2 linked regions of the Lonchura striata genome follow. The protein of the gene in region 1 interacts with the protein of each later gene in a pairwise test. Links are inferred from orthologs where the notes say so. Each region holds a gene or a part of one and is shown in the gene's direction. Other genes may lie near its edges. The genes, in order: TSC22D1 and CCDC90B.

What was found.
Region 2: the proteins of TSC22D1 (region 1) and CCDC90B interact in a two-hybrid assay, tested with the Homo sapiens proteins (2 studies listed by BioGRID and IntAct). The link is inferred for Lonchura striata from reciprocal best matches to the Homo sapiens genes TSC22D1 and CCDC90B.

Annotation. Positions count from the first base shown.
Region 1 is NC_134604.1:60,755,614-60,766,710, reverse strand, and holds the start of TSC22D1 (TSC22 domain family protein 1), read left to right. Parts: upstream 1-6,413; 5' UTR 6,414-6,892; intron 6,893-7,500; 5' UTR 7,501-7,533; coding exon 7,534-10,361; intron 10,362-11,097. UniProt on the Homo sapiens protein: Transcriptional repressor. Acts on the C-type natriuretic peptide (CNP) promoter. Acts to promote CASP3-mediated apoptosis.
Region 2 is NC_134604.1:36,119,332-36,129,850, forward strand, and holds the start of CCDC90B (coiled-coil domain-containing protein 90B, mitochondrial), read left to right. Parts: upstream 1-5,861; 5' UTR 5,862-5,895; coding exon 5,896-5,989; intron 5,990-6,021; exon of another isoform or gene 6,022-6,149; intron 6,150-7,696; coding exon 7,697-7,816; intron 7,817-9,272; exon of another isoform or gene 9,273-10,042; intron 10,043-10,379; coding exon 10,380-10,483; intron 10,484-10,519.

The DNA of each region.
Region 1 (11,097 bases):
CAGTTAAAATGCCTTAATAACAGGTAAAACTAGAAACGAGGTAATGTAGCTTGATCCTAAAGCCATGAAATATTGTAGGGCTAGCTTTTAAGCTAAGACACAAAGCTCCATTAGACATAATGTCAGCATCTTTCAAAAAAATATAAGCATGAGGAGTAACTTTCTTCTTGATAAGGACTCAACAGGGTTACCAACTAAAGGTAAACAAAATCCCAAGTCTCCATAAGGCCACACCTTAGCACATACCTCATCTTTTTGTCTTCTAAGCCTACAAATATTTACACATTTAATGTTAAGTTTTTAGGGGTTTGGTGACCAAACGTTAATCAAAGGGACTATTCACATGACTGAAGTTAAGCCTCTGACTTTGTGTTTGTGCCTGTCGGGACTTGGCACATCTTTTGTTTTACTGAAAGTGATAAAGAAAAATTTTTTTCTTGTGCTTGAGTTGGAAATCCTAAACCTGTTCCCCACTGAATTTTGTCACAAGGGCATTTTTAATATGACTTTCAAGGTTTGTCAGTGTATGTGTGCAGAAGCAAAAGTAACACATACAGTATTTAAAATGCAGAGATAATCAGAGGCAAGACGCCTGAAAAATAATAATGTAGGGAAACAAACCAAAGACCTCACAGATGTAGAAGAATTAAAATTACTGTTGTTGTGAATGAGTTTGTAAGTCCTTTAGCAGAAAAATAGTGCAGTATATATAACTATTGGAGTTATCAGGAAACATACCAATTGACTATTGATAAAAATTGTGTTTACTTCTGCTGTGCTCATGACCAGTCTGTGGTTACTTTCAGTAAACAGTTCAAGTTACACTACAACTAATGCATATAAAAAACAAAAGCTGAAGCTTGCTCAAGTACTGTCCCATAGAAAATTCTGGATTTCTGCAAACAAACACTTGCTTCCACAGAATATGTTTTAAATGGCTAGAAATGATGTTGACACAGCCAAAAGGGAGATGAAAACTAGATACACAAGCTTCAGACAATTGAGTTCAAGAATTTCTCTGTATTCTCCACAATCAGGAGATCCTATCTGTCTCCAGTTACTGTGTGATAATATGAGAAAAATTGTGTGGCTGTACTAAACACTAACTATACATTCTACTTTTCCAAAGAATTCAGCACTGAAGAAACCCATCTCTTCATGGGGAAAAACAAAATTTAATTCTAGGATGAGATTTTAAAGATTTGTGCCTTATCACAACAGACACATTCTCTCCTAACCATTCAAGAAAACCACACATAAATCACAGAACTTTTAGACATCACAAAATTCCCAGTGTAGTGAGGGAACACAAAGTACATTCCCAAACAAAGCATTTTCCTAAGTGCTTTCCCCTATCAGAATTAGGATCAGTCAGAAGAAAACAATTCCACACAATCTTTGCAACTGAGAACTACAAACCAAGAGCTCGGATTTTCAGCATTTTTAAACAGTCCTATGCAAAGGTTTATGATTAATTCATAAATACTAAAACTAATCTAAAAAATATGGTTGACTCCTACTTTGGTCATTGATTTACAAAAAAAAAAAAAAAGAGGGGGAAGGCTCTATTTAACTGTATGACCATTTTCCATTGATTTGATCATCTATTTCATTTAATCTTCAGCTTAATTATATATAACATTTGGCTGACTAATCAAAGATCAAACAGTTAGCAATCTAAGACCTGTACTCTACAAACAATTAAAGAAATTATCTCACTCTATAGTAGTACTGCATTCATTACAGTTGCATGTTGAGGTATCTGGGAAATACTTTCTATAACCTGGCGCTTGTATAAGATGCAAATTCATCAGTTGACTACAAATTCAAGAGAAAATGGAGGAATAAAGGAGAGCAAGATGAATATAGTGATAAAATGGTGGTGATCTTTTGGCTGTTAATTCATTAGTCATGGGCTGGTGGAGGATTTACTTTTAACCCTTGCTCCCACAATACAGTCTATATAGTCCTGTATGTAGTCTACACACCTACAAAGTTTAAAGCAATGATAAAGCTTCTAAACATCTTTCATTAATTCTGAATTTGAATACAATCCCCATTAAAAAAAGGCTGCCTACTTGGCCACATTTCTCAAGCTCAGGTATAATGAATATTTTAAAACAACTTTTCCAGATGATCTAGAAAGATATGATTTTGTGTATATTGGCATTGGAATACACCTTACTAGTCTAAAGAGAACTGATTTTTTTTTCAAGACTGCTAGATTGCAGTCTTGAATTGTTGATTTCTGCAAGCATTTATTTAATAAAAACTTGTGAGAAAGCTTCCCTTTCCCAAAAGTTCAACATTATTTAATAAGAATTAAAATAAGGGATGAAAAATGTCTCAGTAGGCGTTTTGGAATCAGTAAACTCAATCAACCAACTAACCAGCCAACTAAAAACAAAACAAGAAAGGAAGATCAAGACTTGACTTGAACTTTCTAAGAAAATGCAGAAGCAGAATTACCACTTTTTCAGGGCTGAAAGGTAAGAATTTTCTTATGACTACTTCTCTTAGAAGGAAGAAAAAAATGCATACATCTTTGCAAATCAACTTAGAAACTACAGTCAGCGATATTAATGAACAGAGAGAAGCTTTCTGTCTAAACCAACAATGGCAACTTCATGGGAAAAAATTATTTTTATTAATTTTTAAAAAAATTATTTATTAAACAGTCACACAGGACTTAAAGCACACATCAGACTGATTTTTCATGATTTTGACTGTCTTGAGTAAAAACCCCATAGTATTCCTGCTTGTTGGCTTTATAATTACTTAGTACAAAGACATAAACTACTGCATATGCTAGGATGAATGCACACAACTATGTTGAGTAGTGAAGGAGCCAAAGAAAGAAAATATTAAAATACTGCTTATTTTGATATCCTTGGAGAATCTGTGGTGGCAGCAAGGTGTTGTTTCCTGTCTGAAGAAATATTACATATACAGGAGACAGATCTCTAAATATTTACACTGTGAAGATCTTGTTCTCTTGCACTAGCCCGAACAATAAGATTTTAAAGTTGAAATAAGCATTATTCCAGACACTCACTCTCCCTGCCTGGCAGCAAGGACTGCATCAAGCTCATCTGTGCTTGTTCATTTGGGAAGTATGTATGTAAGAGATGCAATCCAAAGGGATTCCTCTATCCTGGCAACCCTCCAGCACTCTTCAGTCTGCAGCTGAGGTAATGATGGGACTGCAGGATTGTCTGCCTTGTAGTCATGAGCAGTGATCATGGTCAACAAGCTGCTCAATCCATCCAGTGATGACACAAGTAACTCTGGTTCCAGCTGACTGATCAATACAGCTAATTAAAAAATAGCAGGTAGAGCTGTTTGGAATAACTGCTGGGTATAATTTCACTTTCTACACATGGTCAGTTGTGTGGTGGCTGAATTTTTAAATATCTGGTGTTCTGTAAATTAGGTATAGGATGGAATTTCTTTTCCCACCTTGAACAACTAAAGAATACAATCCATAACAATTATAAATTCCAGTGGTTTAATTATAATTTCTTATATTTTAATAGATATGAAATTAAAATTGTTTATCTGAGAATCCCATTTTTATGCTTAGACTAATGCTTACCAAAAAATGAAAGAAAGAGAAGTAAGTTTGTACCTGAAGAAAATAGGTAAGGAAAGAAAATGGGTGTAACATGAAAATGTTCATATTTCAAGCAGCATTAAAAAATTAATTTCAATCTTGCCACTTCTGATGTGCTTTGTTTAGTCTAGACCAGTATTTGGATTGCTAACAGATCAGTGACCACATTATGCAGATAAGTTAACACTGTTATCTAAATTTCATTTTTTCTTCAGTTTCTAAGAAGAGAACAATATGGACCCAATTAATAAAAACCCCATATAACACACTGTACTATGAAGCAGCCCAACTACTCAAAATGAATATAAGTTAATTGGCATAGGCAAAGCAAATATTTAATTACTACCAGTACTACCGTTTCAATTCTTTTTCAGCCTTGCTGATATTGACTAGGTGCATACAAACTTTACAGCTCAATCCTTTTTAGGTTGCTTTTGCACAAATTTTTAAGTTTAGAAACCAACTCATCTGTATTCATAGCCTCTGTGCTTTAAAAGTAGTTGGATTTTGTTCAAACATTCAAAAATAATCTTCGAGTTACAACTCATCACAGAAACCTCTATTCCTCAAAGGAAATTGTTCTGGGAAAGTTATAAGCAGACAGAACAGGGATTTTTAATGGCTGTTGACTTGCAGTGTCGAGCCCTCATCTCAAAAATGTTTACAAGTGTGAGTATCTCATTAAAGACAATCTAAGATTTCAGTGTGGCACCAAGGATCAAGATGTAGACAGATTGTGGGCACGTTTGTGAAGCTGTCCTGAAATCTGCAAAGGTTACATGCAGCCAGCTCACTCTCAGGTAGTAGTCTTTCAGTATAGGCTGCCATCTGATTATCAGTTTTTTAAAAATAATATTGGCTTGCCCTCAGGAAAAGATGAATCCTATTTAACTATGTGTCAATTGTTCTTTAGTTTCTGTATAAAGGCAGTACAGCCATGGAAGGAGAAAGGGTTGCAAGTCTACCTTTCAGGTACCTGGAGACCTGAGCTGAATGCCTGCATTCCAGATAAAATGAATTAAACTGCAAAAGGCAGGGTTTTCTCAAAAGCCACCCCTATCCCCACACCAAATGAAAGCTAGATAAGCAAGGTTAGCAGGGAGAGGCAAGATGGAAGTGTGAAATTCAAGAACAGGCAGCAAGAGCTCTCGCTGTGTGTGACCTTGAATCCTTGCCCTTTTCACAAAATGGAGCAAGAAAAGCAGCTTTTTAGTTCCTTGGTGATTAAATGCCACATACTAAACATGGGAGACTCAAATCTCCTCTCTGCCTGAAGAAACTAACATTTATATCTCCCATAAGAACTCTCTAATGACTCAGCTATATGATATAATACCTTGGACTCTCACAACTTTTTTCCCCATTAAAGCTCTACTACTCTTCCTTATGTGTTTAAATATTCACAGCAGCAAGAGCCAAGCCCTGTTTGTTCTCCATGCTCTCTTGATCGTCCTGATCAGTGGGCTCCACAGTCAGGTTACAACATTAGCCTGAGCCCTTCAAACACTTCACCAATTCCAGGCAAGCCACAGCAATTTCAAAGCAGTGATTTGAGACACCTCCTGCCTGCTCATGGATTTCTCTGTTTGGAGACAACGTCATGCTGCCAGGAGTTGGGAATACGAGCATGGTGCACACCTTACGTAGCACCAGGCTGCCGGAGAAACAGGGCAGAGGGTGTGAACTTGTCCCGTCTCTGTAGGAATGCAGGACATCCCACCTATCGATCTCTGGAAGTCCGGCTGGAAAGGGTTCTGCTTGCAGGAGAGGTGGAGCGGTGCAAATGGTGGGGATCTATCGGGCTGGATCCACTGATCACGGTGGGGCCACGGGATGCCTGCCAGGCAGCTCTGTGCAAGGCAACAGGCACAAGGACGCGAAGGAAAAATCTCTGGGCAGGTATGTGTGCATCGAGCGTCTCTGGAGACCAGGCGGTGCTCACCGAAGGAGAGAAGCCAGCTCCGTTTGGGATGGGATGGGAGCAGCCTCACCGTGGTGGGCGTGGTGAGCTTTGCCGCCTGGCTTTGACGATGCTGGCACTTGAACAGTGAAGGAAGGTCTGTTAATTTCACCTCGATCCCGTTTAATAAGTTTTGTACTTTTTTTTTTTTTTTTTTTTTAATCAGTGCTTCTGTATGGTTCGTCTGGAGCTTTCATGAGAAGCTCCTCCACACACAGACACACGCCCATGGACACAGCGCAGGTGGATGCGGAGGAACGATCCCACCTGACCTCCGGGCATCCCTGCCCGGCAGTACGGAGGGCGCCTGCGGCCCCCGCCGCGGCTGGGATGGAGCGGGCAGCGGGGCGAGCCGCCCGCCCCGGGCACAAAGGGAAAGCGGCCCCGAGCGAGGGGGATGCGCGCACACTCCGCTCTCCTCCCCACGCGCGGGGGAAGGAGCGGGCAGGAATATTCTGGACCGAGGGAGGGGAGGAAGGAGAGAAGGCGATGAATAACTTGAATAAATCTGCAGCGGAGCTGAGGAGGGGGGAGGGAAACGGCGGCAGGTCATGTGAGGCACAGTCATGCTGCGGGCAGAGAGGGGGCACCTGGCGGGTACACGACGCGGCCGGGGAGGGGGACGGGCCGCCGCCCGCCATGGCCGCGGCCTCGCCCCCTCCTCGGCCGGGACACCCCCGCCCGCCGCGGGCTCGGCCATTTCCGCCACGCGAGCCGAGCCCTATTTCCGCCGGCCCCGGCCAGACGGGCTTTATGTCTGCCGGCGGGGCGCGCGTGCGCGGCGGCCGCCGCCATCTTACGTTGTCTCTCGCCCGCCCTCCCCTTTGGCGAGCTCTCCCCTCCTCCCCCCCGCGGCGCCTCCTCCGGCGCTCTGTGAGGAGACGGGGCCGGCACGGGGAGGGAGAGACCCGCGGCGGCGGGGAAGCCGGGAGTAAACCCTGAGGGAAGAAAGGACGGGGCGGACGCACACGCGGGAGGAGGAGGACGGATTCCAGGCGCGGTTCTGCGGAGGACGAGCGGGTGCCGCCTGTTATAAAGGGGGAGGAGGCGGCGGAGGGGGAAGGAAGAGCGTGCACAGCGGAGCCTCCTCCAGAGACAGCCAGACACAGGGAGGAGAGAGAGGCTGCCTGGCTGGCTCCCCCTTCCTCCCTCCCTCTCTCCTTTTCATGGACTCTTTTGTCGGGTTGCTGCTGCTGCTTTTCTTCCGTCCTTATTCCGTCTCTCTGATATCCAAAATGATTCAGCTCCATGGCTGCCACTGACGGGGATGTCCCTGCCCGGCTCAGCCTGCCGCTGCCGCCCTGCTGTGCGCCAGTCCTGTACGTATCCGCGCCTTCCTCCTCCTCCCGCTCCTAAGAGCGGTGATGGCGAGGGGCGCCGGCCGCCTCGCCGGGCTGCCCTGCGGGCCCGCCGGCACCCCTCGCCCCGCCGAGGCAGGGAGGGAGGGAGCGAGGGAGGGCGGTGCTGCCGGCGAGCCGCGGCGCCCGGCGGAGCCTCCGCGGGGAGGAGGAAGGGGCTCGCCCCCGGGCCGGCCGGCTGGCTGCCCTCCCGGGTGAGGCGCAGTCGGAGGGCTGGGGACGGGGGGGCGGCCGAGCAGGGAGGCGGTGGTAGGGTGGCGGGAGGGAGGGTGGTAGGGAGGAAGAAAGTGAATGGCGGAGGATTGAAAGTGTCACATTCAGAGGCGGCGGAGGACCGGTGCTCGCCCCCTCCCTGTCTCGGAGGGGAGGGGGAGGGGAGAGGGGTGGTGGTGAGCGGCGGTGCCGAGCCGCCTCAGCCCGTGCGCTGCGGGAGCCGGGAGGGCTGTGCGTGGTGGTGTCTGCCCTGCCCTGAGCACGCAGCTAACCGTGTGTGTGTGTATGTGTGTCTGTCTGTCTCTTTCCATACCGGGGGATTGCACTCTTAAAATACACTCGATACAATGCACCAGCCTGACTCAGCCGCAGACATTAGTGCTAGGAAGATGGCGCACCCGGCGATGTTTCCTAGAAGGGGCAGCAGCAGTAGCAGCGGCAGCGGCTGCGTTACTGCTCCCACTGCACCAGGTACCGGCGTTGGGAGCGCTGCCCTCTCTGCCGAGGATTATCAGCCGCCTTTGCTGGTCCAGCCGCCGCCTCCATCTCCTGCAGCAGCTTCAACAGTGGGTCCACAGCCGACACCCCCTCATCCACAAAGCCTGAACCTCCTCTCGCAGTCTCAGCTCCAGCCACAGCCCCTTGCACAGACTGGAGCTCAAATGAAAAAGAAAAGTGGCTTTCAAATTACCAGTGTGACCCCTGCTCAAATATCAGCTAGTATGAGCTCTAATAACAGCATAGCCGAGGATACAGAAAGTTACGATGACCTGGATGAGTCTCACACTGAAGACCTCTCATCTTCTGAAATCTTGGATGTGTCTTTATCCAGAGCCACTGACATGGGAGAACCTGAGAGGAGCTCTTCCGAAGAGACTCTAAATAACTTCCAAGAGGCAGAGACTCCTGGGGCTGTTTCTCCAAACCAGCCTCATCTTCCTCAGCAGCATGCTCCTCAGCCTCATCACCCACAGCAGAGTGTTGTGATCAATGGAAGTGTTCATCCCCATCATGTTCATCATCACCACCATCTTCACCACCACCATCACGGACACCATCATCCATCACATCCTGGGGTGGGTAGTGCCCCAATTTCTGGAGGACCGCCACCCAGTCCATCGTTTAGAAAACTATCAACAACTGGAAGCTCTGACAATGTTATATCAACTGCACCAGTTTCTGCTGCATCATCCACTGGTTCCCCAGCATCTGCTGTGTCTAATATCCGCACTACAAGTAGTCCTGGCAATTTAGGTATAAGTCCTGCTCCTGGAACTAGTACCTTAAGTAATATTGGTGGTGGTAGTTCTAATGTGGCAAGCAATGTGCTTGGTACTATAAATTTAAGCAACATCATGAGTACTGGTAATGTAAATGCTTTGTCTGGAACTAGCAGCAATGCTAATGTGAATATCTTGAGTGGTGTTGGCAATGGTACGAGTGCTTCCTCTAGTGTCATTAACAATGCTACTAATCCAACTGCAGGAGTGGCAGTGGGATCAAGCCAGCAGCAGCCTGCATCTGGCACGTCGAGGTTTAGGGTTGTAAAATTAGATTCTAGTTCTGAACCTTTCAAAAAAGGTAGATGGACATGCACTGAATTCTATGATAAAGAAAACACTGTTGCAGTTTCGGAGGGAGTAGCAGTAAACAAAGCAGTAGAGACGATAAAACAAAACCCGCTTGAAGTGACTTCTGAAAGGGAGAGCACCAGTGGGAGTTCTGTTAGCAGCAATGTAAGCACACTGAGTCACTATACAGAAAGTGTGGGAAGTGGAGAAATGGGAGCACCTACTGTGGTACAGCAGCAAGCATTTCAAGGTGTGGGTCCGCAGCAGATGGATTTTAGCAGTGCTGCTCCTCCAGCAATTCCAGCATCTAGTATACCACAGAGTGTTTCTCAATCACAGCTTGCACAAGTCCAGCTGCATTCTCAAGAAGTAAACTATCCACAGCAGAAGCCAGGGGTCCAGACTCCTGCACAGGCCAGTCTAACCACTGTTCCTGGGGTTCAGCCAGCCCCAGTTAATATACTAGGTGTATCCCCATCTCTGGGCCACCAGCAACCTGCCCTTCAGAGTATGGCTCAACAGCAGCTGCCATATTCGCAGCCGGCGCAGCCTGTGCAGACTTTGCCAGTGGTGCAGCAGCAGTTGCAGTACGGACAGCAGCAGCAGCAGCAACAGCAGCCAGTTCCTGCGCAGATGGCCGCGGGTCACGTTAAGCCGGTGAACCAAAACTCTGTCACGGGGGCTATGCCAGACTACATTCAACATCAGCAGATCCTTCAGACTCCAGCCCCTGCCATGCAGCCAAGTTCTGCAGGAGTAGGAGCTGGGCAACCGGTTCCTGTTGCCCAGGCACAAGGCATGCAGCCTTCAGTTCAAGCACATCCAGCTGCTGCCCCAGCTCAGCCTGTTGCACATGCTCCAGCAGCAATACCAGGTGTAGCTGCCAGTGGTCAAATGCTAAATGTTGGGCAGCAAGGAAGTGTAGCTGCTGTGGTGCAACCACCATCTGCTACAAACCAAATTCCACCTCCAGTTATGCCATCAACGGCTGCTCCTCCATCTTCCCAAGTAGTGCAGCCTGTGCAGACAGGAATAATGCAGCAAGGATTGCAGGCTAGCACTACAGGCCTTCCTCAACAAATGGTCATTGCTCAGCAAAACACCTTGTTGCCTGTACAGCCACAGGCACAAGGAGTGGAATCTGTAGTCCAAGGGATGACTGGCCAGCAGCTGCCCGCAGTGAGCCCTATACCCTCTGGTAGTGCTGTTCCTGCACCAAGTCAAGCTGGTTCAGCTGTGCCTCCTGGCATACCTTCTGCTTCTGTAGGTTTGGGACAGCCGCAGAGTATAGCACAGGCTTCGGCTGTGCAGAATGGTAATTTGGCTCAAAGTGTTAGTCAGCCTCCCTTGATATCAACAAGTATAGGTATGCCAGTGGCACAGAGTGTGCCGCAGCAGATGCCATTAAGCTCTACCCAGTTCCCTGCACAATCACTAGCTCAGTCCATTGTAAGCCAAATCGAAGACGGCAGACGCCCTACAGAGCCTTCCTTGGCGGGTTTACCTCAAGCTGCCAACGTTGAGAGTGGTGGTGGAGCATCGGCCGCTTCAGATGGCGGTAGCAGCAACATGCCATCCTCGGCGTCCCTCTTCCCGCTGAAGGTGCTGCCGTTGACAACACCTCTTGTAGATGGTGAGGATGAGAGGTAAGACTGCCTGTAACTTTATTAAAAGATGGACTCTCTGATAGTTTGATTTGCACTAACTTGCAGTTCTTGTTACAGCCATTCTCTGAAATGAAGCAGTGTGATGTTTCTGTCTAATTAAAATACTATTTCTCAGGTCTCAGTGCATGCAGATATTGTATTAAAGAACTTGTTTTCCACTTGAGGGGGTGGGTTGTATTGATTATGCTTTGAAACTACTGTGTGGGTAAATTGTGCTTAGCAGTCTGTTCAGTGTGTATATTCCCACAGTGTTGAGGAAGACGAGAATACTGTAGAGTATACTAGTGGTGATTGCAGTTTAGGTTATTTATTATATGAAAATAATTAATATTTATTCTTAGGTATTTTTTTTCACAAGCCTAGACTTCATCCTGGCTTAGCTTCTCTTTTTAAAGTATTGACTTTACTAAGGTTGAACCAGTTGTGATTCTTTGGTATATTCAAAACCTCTTTGATGGCCAAAAGATGCTTTAGGCAAATGAGTATGGTGGGATAAGGGATGTTCAGCAACATTGTTGTGGCTCTTTGAATTGAACTAGGGGTATTTTTTGTCTTGATGGTGTCGCTTCAAAGTGTTCATGTGTGGCGAGATCTGCTTAGGCCTGCCAAAGCGTGGTGAACCTTTGCATGTGATGTACCAATTCTGTGCAGTTGGAGTAAGAAAACTTCTATTTTTTCCCCCATTTTCACTAGTTCAAACTACATGTATTCTCTC
Region 2 (10,519 bases), about 25 Mb from region 1:
TGACATCATGCTTAGCAGTAAAAGCACAGAGAAAGGAGGAAAAACAGAGAATGATAAGAAGAAATTCTTCACTGTGAGGGTGGTGAGGCACTGGAACAGGTTGCCTCATTCCTGGCAGTGTTCAAGGCCAGGCTTAATGGGGCTCTGAGCAACCTGCTCTAGTGGAAGGTGTCCCTGCCTATGGCAGGGGGTTGGAATTGGATAGTCTTTAAGGTCCCTCCCAACCCAAGCCAGTCTGTGATTCTGTGATTCTGTGAAGCTATGTTTGTGGCTATGGCATTTGTCTTCTCAACTAAAGCTGAGGTCCTCCTTGCCAAGAAGTAGCAAAACATTTGCCTGCCAGTGGCAGTTTTTTCCCCCTTCTTTGCCTGTGCATGCAGCTTTTGCTCTCCCCATTAAACTATCGCTAGTTCAAACCACAAATCTGATCTTCTGTTTTCTCCCCATCCCATGAGGGAGGGGAGTCAGTGAGCAGCTGGGTAGGTGCCTGTTAGGCACAACTGTCTGCTCCAAGCGCAGCATGGGGCCTGAGATAACAGGTTCCATTTGAGCATTCTATCAGCAGTTAGAGTTGTTAGAGGCAGGTACTGTGCTGGTCATGCAGCTTGTGTTCTTTGCTGTATATTACAGTCCAAGGCCATTTCTGCTGTTTGCTGTGGTGCTTACTGCTTTACTTCACTGTGCCTGGACACCTTTTGAAAAAGGCAGTGGCCGTGTGCAAGGGCACTGATGCTCCTCTTGTGCTGCGTGAGCTCCCTTGCAGGAAGCACTAGGGATTACACCTCCCTCTGCTCCCCTGGGATAGATGTGTCCAGTTTTTTTGTGTGGGCTCCCAAGCTCCCTGTACATGATCATGCATGCTGTTTGAATATGTTCTCAAGCATTGTTGGATTGCTGGTGGGCTTGCAGAACCTGACTGGCACAAGGGTAAACAAAGCATAAAGCATTGTTGGTGAGGTAACAAAGAAATGTGCACCAAGATGGCCAGTTGGTGCTGCCAAGGTTTGTGGGAGGATTTGGGAAGGTGCCTAGAGCCAGTGCCTAGAGCAGTTATCACCTTCAATAGCCTGAGATTTTACACTTGAACAGGCACATAAACCTGTTGAACTGGCTCACACTTGAAAGAAGGTGCCTTACCTAAATCAATGAGACCAAACAAATTTTGGCAATATTTTTTGGCTTGGCCTCTGCCTACTGAGCCTCAGCCCAGCACCATTAGAAGAGGCAGGATGAGGGAGTGACAAAGAGACAAAGGAGGCAGAAATCACTCAGGCCATAAAGCCTGAGTTTTAAAGGAGCTGCAAGATCTGTGGGGAAATTACAGCCACAAGGTGAGCAGATTGCTACCTGGTTGCTCCAACATCAGGATACTGGGGTCTGCTACCAGGAGTTAGCCAGCAAGCCAGGCAGCTGGGATCCCTAAGGAGACACACCAGGATTGGCAAAGGGAAGCCTTTGGATGTAATTCCTGTTGACAATGAAAGTCAGTTACTCCCTCAAGGATGACTTGGTACAATGCCTGGGCAAGTGAACCACCACTGTAAAAGGCATCCAATGCTTGAGGGAAGTAGAGGTGGTGGGACTGCACCCAGTCCATGTGCAGAAGGTGCACATAACTCACCGCTGTTGAATGCCAGCACCGTGGGGCTGATGCACTGGACAGACCCCGAACCACTAACTACAGAGTGACTGTTCCAATGGCTCCCAGGATTCAAAGAGAACTTCCCCTCCTCCCCCTGACCAAAGGTCTAGGTCTCGGCTAGAGATGCCCCTCAGAGTTGTCTCTGTCCTGTCAGAGGGAAAGGGGGATCCAGGGCATGCCATGCCAGCCTGTGGTTCCTCCTGCACAATCGGGAGGATGAAGAAGGGGAACAATGTGCCCACCTCAAATCTAGAAGCCCACATGCACGGACTACAAGGAAAACCACTGCTACAAAGCACCCATCCAAGAAGACCGGTTTGACAGCCTGGCATGTGATCCACAGAAGCGGAAGGCTTTGCTGGACACTGACGCACAGTGTACCCTGACATCATCAGATTACAAGGGAGCAGAATCCATCTGGATTTCTGGAGTGACCTAGACTGGGGATGTCAGGGTCAGTTATCCACAGCTTAGTGAGCCCATGAAACATCACGACATCTAGGAAAAGAAGCAATATGTGGGTGGGCTTATGCTTGAGGGGTGCACCTGACAACCAAAGTACCACACAGGTGGTAGATGGAAGTTCTGTGAAGGGCACGGAGAGGATAATTCAGAAAGATGGGCAAGAGGAGCATCAGGCAACAAGTACCAAAGACTTTTTTCCCTAACTAATTTCCACACTGGAATTGAATTGACTTTGTCTGCATGCAGGATCTACATACTGAGATTTCACAACAGTGACATGCTGATGCACAGTTTGGGCTTCTCAGTGCAACAAGATTACAATGAATGAGCAGTAGCCTCTGCTGATACAAGTCGGCACAAGTCAGCATGGTTCCATCGACTGCAGCCACCTCACCGACTTAGACAAGACTTAATCAAATACATCTGTGATCACTCTTCTATTATTCCTTCCCACTGGGGTCTCAGGGTTATTCAAGATACCAACAAGGATGAAAATCAACATCATGTCAGTCACAGCTTCAAAGTCTGTCTGTCCACAGCCCATACTCCATCTAAATTTAATTTAGTAAGATTTATCTGAGCCTGATGTAAGTAAATTAATCATGCAGAGCACTGACCCATCCTACCCCCGGCTACTATGCCCCACCCTGCATGTTTATTTGGAAGGTAATCTAATTTGCTGCAAATGTGCTTATCTAGATGGAAAGCAAGCTGTGATAGATACACCTTAGGAGGAAGAAAGCTTTCCAGGACACATGCCTCAGTGAATTTGTATGAGGAATACAGAATCTATTGTCCTGTTGTTGTTGATCTGCATTATTCACCTGCTCCCCGCTCTTTGTCTCCATGTGTTTGTGAAGCACTGTTAAGCTCCAGTCAGTTCAAAACTGGGTAGAATGCACCAGCCCTTCTCCCTGAGTTTCCCATAAAGAAAGCTTAAGCAACTCTAGAGAGCTGCTGGGTAACAACCTCCCACCTGCAAGGTACTTTTATCAAATGAGAGTGAAATCCTGAGAGATGTTTGCTAACACGACGCTGAAGCACAAGAGCCCACTGAATAGCCAGCAGTGGCATAGCCTGGCTTTGTAACACAGAAGAGAGTCAGAGCACAACACATTGACCTGAGTAAGGAACACTGAGGAGGTCTCATGTTCCTAAATATATACAATACCAACCAGTGCTGAAACAACGAGAGGGCAAAATTGTGATTAATAGCATCTTCTAGATGCAAGCTATCTTCTGTCCCACTCTGGGCTGTTGCATCTTGCTCAGCTTTGCCTCCCAAGCTCCCAAGTGTATCTTGCACTTTGGCTTTGTCTCACCAGTGTGGTAAGAGAAGGATCAGATTCCCAGCAGTACTTTCCTCTTACTCCCTGAGGTGAAGCAGAACAGACCTGGAAGGGAGGTGTGCTGGTGGATGCTGAGGCAGTGATAATAGATAGATGGTCCCAATACCAGACAGAGGATGTATCTTGTTATTTCCCCTCTTTCCAGCCATCTCACTGGTTTCAACACTTTTCACTTGGTGGTCCACATCCACTTGCCTTCCCTATTTTCATCCATTTCAGAGGAGAGCCTTCTACCCTACAGCTCTACTCTACATCCTTGCAGTGTATGGCAGTGTTGTAAATGCAGGCGAACCCAATGCAATGAAATGACAATGTCTGACTCAATTCAGAAGGCTGAATTATTTCTTTATTATAACTATGCTAAAATACATTAATATACTATATAAAGGAAGATACTAAAACTACATGCTGCTTTCTCTAACTCTATATCTAACCCTTAACACAACTCGTGACCCTCTCAAGAGAGTCCAGACACAGATGGATTGGATTGGCCATCAGGCTCAAACAACCTCACTAGAATCAAATCAAGCATTCACTCCAGGTAAAAAATTCTCCAAACACATTACACATGAGAAAAACAAGGAGAAGAAATAGAAATTGTTTTCTCTTTCATTTCTCTCTGTGCGCCTCTATGAAATATCCTGAGAGGGAGAAATGTGCTGCCACATGGCAGCATGAAAGTAATCCCTGCTGCAGGCCCTCAGCCAGACAAACGGACTGATAATATCGAGATGTGTGAGTTGTGTGTGTGCAAAAGCTGTAGAATAGCCAGCTGAGAGCACAGGAATGGCTGTCCTCCACTGAATGCGTACTAATGAGAATAGAACAGAGCAGAAGGGTGAACTGATCAGAACACAGCCGATCCGGCTGTAGGCTGCTGCCCTCCTATGGCAAACTGGGACAGCAGTCCTGGTGCCCGGAGCAGCTCTCTGTACCGAGTTCAGCTGCTGGCTCCGGCTGACAGAAAGCACAGCTTCCAAACACCCAGTTTGTCATCTCGCTGTTTGTCTGAAGTAGAAAATCAACACCCTGGGGCACTCGGCCTTTCTGCACTGCCAGGGAAGCTTTTGTGGATGGAAAGAACTGTGCGCTGCTCAAGGAGCATTTGCCATCCTGAGCCTGTGTGTGACAGCGTTGAACAAAAACATCCCTGCAGAAAAGGTGCAGATCTGCGGCTCTTCCCCCTTAGTGACAGCTCTTTGTTGCTATTGTTGGGGTTTCTTTCTAATGTCTGTGTTTCAGCAACACAGGAGCTGGTGATTCGTGGCCCCATGAGGCACTCATGAAGTTCAACAAGTGCAGGGGGCTGCATCTGGTGGGGCAATCCCATATATGAGCACAGACTGCAAGAGGAACTTACTGAGAGCAGCTCTGAGGAGAATGACTTGGGGGCTCTCATGTATAAAAAGCTGAACACAGCCTGGCAGTGTGTGCTCACAGCCCAGAAAGCCAATTGTGTGCTGAGCTACAGCAAAAGCAGCGTGGGCAGCAGGGCGACAAGGGATTCTGCCCTTCTGCTCTGCTCTTGTGAGATCCCACCCGGAGTGCTGTGTCCAGCTCTTGGGACCTCAACACAAGAAGAAGGATGTGGATCTGTTGGAGCAAGTCCAGGGGAGGCCACAAAGATGATCAAAGGGCTGGAGCACCTCTCCTACAAAGGCTGAGAGAATTGAGCGCGTCCACCCAGGAAGAGGCTTAAAGGGAAACCTCACTGCAACCTCCCAGCACCCTGAGGGGGCTTGTGAAAAGACAGAGACTTTTTAAATGAGCCGATAGTGATGGGACATGCGGCAAGGGTTTTAAACCAAGAGGACAAGTTTAGATTAGATATTAGGAAGAAATTCTTTACCCCGAGGGGGGGCAGTCATTGGCACCAGTTTCCCAGAAAAGATATCTCTGAGGTGTTAGATAGAAACATCATATCCCTGTACTCCCCAGTTACTTTCCTGGTGAACCAAGAAATTCATTCATAATGAAAATTAGACTTGTATGTATTAAAAAAAAAATGTAGCATTATGTTCACGTAAATCACTGAGATTTGGATTAGATATAAGGAAGAACTTTACTGTGAGGGTGGTGAGGCACTGGCATGTGTTGCCCCGAGAAAGCTGTGGATGCCCCTTCCCTGGAAGTGTTCAAGGCGATGGATAGGACTTAGGGCAAGCTGCTCTGGTGGCAGGTGCCTGTGCCCATGGCAGGGGTTAGGAACTAGATGATCCTCAGGCGCGTTTTCCCGGCGTTTCACTGAGCGGAGCCGCCGCACGGCGCGGCCCCGGCTGAGGGCGGCTCGGCGGCCCCGGCGCTGCGCTCCTCCCACCGCACGAGGGCGCCGCGCCGCCGCCTCCGGCCGAGCCCTGCCGCACACTACAGTACCCAGCACGCCCCGCGGGGCTGGCCGGAAGCGGCAGTGGGCGGGCGGAAGCGCCGGGCTGGGGCGCCATGAGGGGCGTCGGGAGCAGCGGCGCCCTCCGCGCCTGGGCCGGGCCGCTCCTGCTCCCGGTGCCGGCCCGGCTGCCCCCGGCTCCTCGCAGAGGTGAGAGGCGCCGTGCTGCGGCCCCTCGGGGTGGGTGGCTGCCGGTGTCGGGTGAGCCCGTGTCTGTGAGCGGCGCTGGGGCTGCACAGGGCGCGGGGCCCGTCCCTGAGGCGCTGCGTGAGGGAGCGCTGAGCGCCTTCCCTCGGGGCTGGAGCAAGGGGTGAGTGCGTAGGGGCTGTCAGGGGTGTTCGGGACGGGAGGAGAGGCCGGGGTGCAGGGGGCGTCATCCGGAGGTTGTCTCAGGTACGCGTGTGCGGAGTGGTTTTCTCAGCTCCTGGGAGAGGAGCATCCGCCCGAGACTGCAGCAGTGGAGCAACCAGAGCTGAAATACCGGCTTTCTTGAGACAGTGTCTGTGCAATGTAGCTCTTCAACCCAAAGAAAAAATCCACCTATGTGTTTAGAAGATAAGAGTCGTGTGTTTAAAACCTGGGACAGCTCCATAAAAACGCTTTAAATTGGTTTTCTTTATTTGTGTGTAGCATCTGGTGCATCTTAACTCTGATGTTGTCATTAATAATAAAGTGCTGTGCCTGGTTTAGTTGTAGTCTGATTTTTATAGTATTTGTAAGATAGCACATAACTTGATTTATCTAGTAGTGGCACAAAATTATAAATTCCATATTGTTTAAATGTTATAAAGCTTTTGAGTAAAGATCTGGATAAGACACAGAATTTGGTTAAGTCAGAGAGCCAGCAGTGCATGTAGTTTCACATGAACAGATGAAGAAGTAACAGGGCTGCTTAGAGAACAGAGAATCAGAGCAGAATCTGTAATATGCAAAGCCACACAAACATAAGGTGAAGAGAAACATATGCTTGAAGTAAAAGTAGGAGAAGCAGTGAAACCTGCTTGTGGGAGAGCACATCATAAATAGAGTGGATCGTTAACTAATACCCGAGGTTAACTAATATCTCTGTAGAGATTAGGTATTCCTCATCTCTGAGGTGTTAGATAAAACATCATATCCCTTTATTGCCCAGTTACTTTCCTGGAACCAAGAAATTAATTCATCTTGAAAATAAGATTTGCATATATATTCTTTTTACTTGTAGCTTTATGTTCACACAAGCCACTGAAAATGAGATATTTGGATTAGGCATAAGGAAGAAATTCTTTACTGTGAGGCTGTTGAGGCACTGGCACAGGCTACCCAGGGAAACTGTGGATGCCCCATCCCTGGAAGCTTCAAGGCCAGGTTGGGTGGGGCTTTGACCAGCCTGATCTGGTGGAAGGTGTCCCTGCCCATGGCAGGGGTTTGGAGCTAGATGATCTTTAAGGTCCCTTCCAAACCAAACCATTCTATGATTCTGTGATAAAATAAAAAGCTGTTGGAATTAAGGCTCAGTGATTCAAATAAAACAGCAATAAATGCTTGATTGCATAAAGTCATTCAGTGTTTTTTACAAGTATGAAAATTATTTCAGTGATGTTTCCCAAATATTATCAAACAGTTGGCTGTGGGGTTTATTTGTGCTGTATCAGGATGCTTGTCTGTTGTACAGTTATATGAACACACTTCAGACAGATCTGTAAGTCCTGTTTAATGTAAATTCCCTGTGGAAAAGGGTTGATGGTTTCTGGTGTGTTGAACCCAGCTTTTTGTTGCAACATCCATACAGCTTTTCTGTGATGAAAGAAATGAAGATTAGTGTATTGCATGATAAGCCAATCAAGGTAAGATTAAGGCATGTTTGGTTGTTTCCAGGTTTTGCTGCCACAATCGTTAGGAAGTCATATGATGTCAGAAGAGTTGATATCACTCCCCTGGAGCAGAGGAAGGTGACTTTTGATACCCATGCTTTAGTGCAGGATCTGGAAGCCCATGGTAAGTGATGTCAGATAAATAATTCAAAGGAAAAATTTTAATATTAAGTAGTGTAACTTTGAGTGCTGTCAGTTTCCCCTGAGTACCAGTGGTGTAAAATGTTTTAGCAGCCTCTTGAGGAGGCTGGTGAAGGAGAGGCATCTGATGGTGTGCCCTACAAATAACTAGGACATTAGATTGACCTCATTTGTAGCTGTAAGCAGGTTTATGTGGTGTCTTCCAGCTGAAGAACACAACACAGGTAACAAATGTGAAGTAACAGTTAAAGACTTCTACAGCAAAAGTGAAGCTCTTCAATAAAATCCTTCTATTAGCCTGCTAAGAGTAGCTGAAGGGTTTTTTCCTAGTGAGAAATATTCTCAGCAGCAAGGTGCTGTGATACATTCTCAATGCCCACTCCTCTGTTGTGAGTGAGGCTGGCTGAATTCAGATAAAGGGTTCATCCAGCCCTGGGTTCTGTCTCCTGGCAGCAGCTGAGTCAGAGCCTGCAGAGGAGTGTTATAACAGGGTAGATGTATGTCACACATCCTCTTGTATTTTCCAGGTTTCTAGTTTCTGTCACCATGGAGTTACTTTAAATTGGTTGAGAGTTTTAGTAACCGTCAGTGGAAATCTTTTCACAAGTTTATGCAGTCCCTGAGCCACTATAAACTGATTACTATCCAGAGCATGCTTTCTCATGGAACTTCAGGCATCTGTGTGGTCTGTTTATGCAGAATCTGGCATCTGTGAGGTGCATTTGATGCTCACTCAGCTCCTTTGTGGGAAGGAGTGAACATTTTATCTCTCATGTCACTCAGAATTATGCAAACTTCTGTCTATTGCCCTGTCATTTTCCAAACAGAAGAATCCTAGCTTGTTGCTTTTTTTCCTGAAGCAGTAGATTTTCCATATTTTTGATTATTCACTATGCCCTTCTGTTAGTATTTTCTGCTTCTGTCACATTCCATTCCATTTCAGGCTTTCAGGGAACAGTGCTGGCATTACTTGACAACTGAATGTCCTATGGATTTGCATAGTAAAGTAATGCTGGGTCCACTGTTCCTTTTCCTAGTCATTCAAAGGGTTTGGTTAGCTTTATTCATCCCTGCTGAGCTTTGAGCTGATATCTTCATCAGACGAGCAACTATTTTTTAAAATCCCAAGTGACAGTAGAAACTTCGTACTGTCAGAGTTTATAATTGTTTCCACTATTTGGGTCTAATAATAATATGTGTTAGTAGTTAAAAGACTCACAGTAATCTGCTGTGTTTATTTTTATCATGCTTGTCAGACTTGACAGCCTGCACTTCCCTACATCGCTCTAGAACTGCTTTTTAAAACTGGCACTTTTATTTTCCACAGTAAGCTGTGAAATCTTACTTGTCCTAGAGACTGATTCAGCTATTTCTTCTTCAACTTCCTTTAGGACTTGTGGGATAAAGTCTGGTGCCAGTTGTTACTCAGTTTAATTTGTTCTATAACTTCTACAAATACTTCTACCACAGTGACAGATCTTTATAGGTAAAACCACAAAAATAAGAGAGCCATTTTAGTTTTTCCCAAGCTTTTGGCAGTTTTCAGGCTTCAGTCTCTTGCTTACATTTTTTTTTTTTTTTCCTCATTTTCTAAACTTTCACAAAACAAAGTAATTTCTTGCTGTGGAGGAAGAGCAACATAAGGAATTGGCAAGAGTTCAACTAACCCTGAAAATTCAGAGAACCTGAAGCAATACTATCACACTTTGTAGTGGGAAGAAGCTGCTGTAAGGCACATGTACGTTTTTTAGACATGTAAGCCAGTGGTGCACCTGGACAGTAACAGTATTTTAGAAGGGTGCAGTGGTATAGTTCTCTAAATAATGTGCCTTGAAAGCAATTTTCAATGTTAATTTAGCCCACTTTATGGAATGGGCTAGTTGAAACACAACATACCAGTCAGATTGCTGGAAATAAATCTCTAGGGCAAAAGCTCTCAGCACCTGACCAGATCTGACTAAAATGAGAGCAATTTTTCTTCCCCATTATTCACCACGCATCATCTGTAACACTTCAAAATTACACCAAGCTACAGGCAAAGTGTATTTTTTATCATCAGAAAGCAAAAATCCCAGTTTGAGTTAATTCTGCAAGCAATGGATGAAGCAGTTTAAAAATCAGTTTTGCCTATGTTCCTATCTCTGCAGGACAGTTCCAATATATGCAGAAATACTTACTATTCTATAGAGTGTATGCTTTGTAGCTCAAGGTAAGTTTGGTTTTAACAGAATTTGTGAATGTTCATTATGAAGTTTTGCTAAATTATTTTAATAATGCATGAACGGCTGGATCTTCTACAGAGAAATTTGGTCTTTCTTTCAGGTGCATGTGTAGACTTTCAGTATATTAAAAGGTACTGTGCTTCAGATTTTTGCAGCATTAACTTTGTTTTGTCTACCTGAAGTCACAGTGCCTGGCTGTCAGTTCCCAGTTATTGTGTGAATTCCCATGTGCTGCTGTGGTAAGGTCTGGCACTTGAGCATCTCTTGCTCCTCATCCAGATTTTTAATACCACCATAACTTACCATCCTTCAATTATCCCCTAGGCTTTGGGAAGGAGCAAGCACAGACCATTGTGTCAGCGTTGATAACCCTGTCCAATGTCAGCTTAGACACCGTCTACAAGGACATGGTCACACAGGCCCAGCAGGTAAAAACTCATCTGTGCTGTGTAGCTATAAAAGCC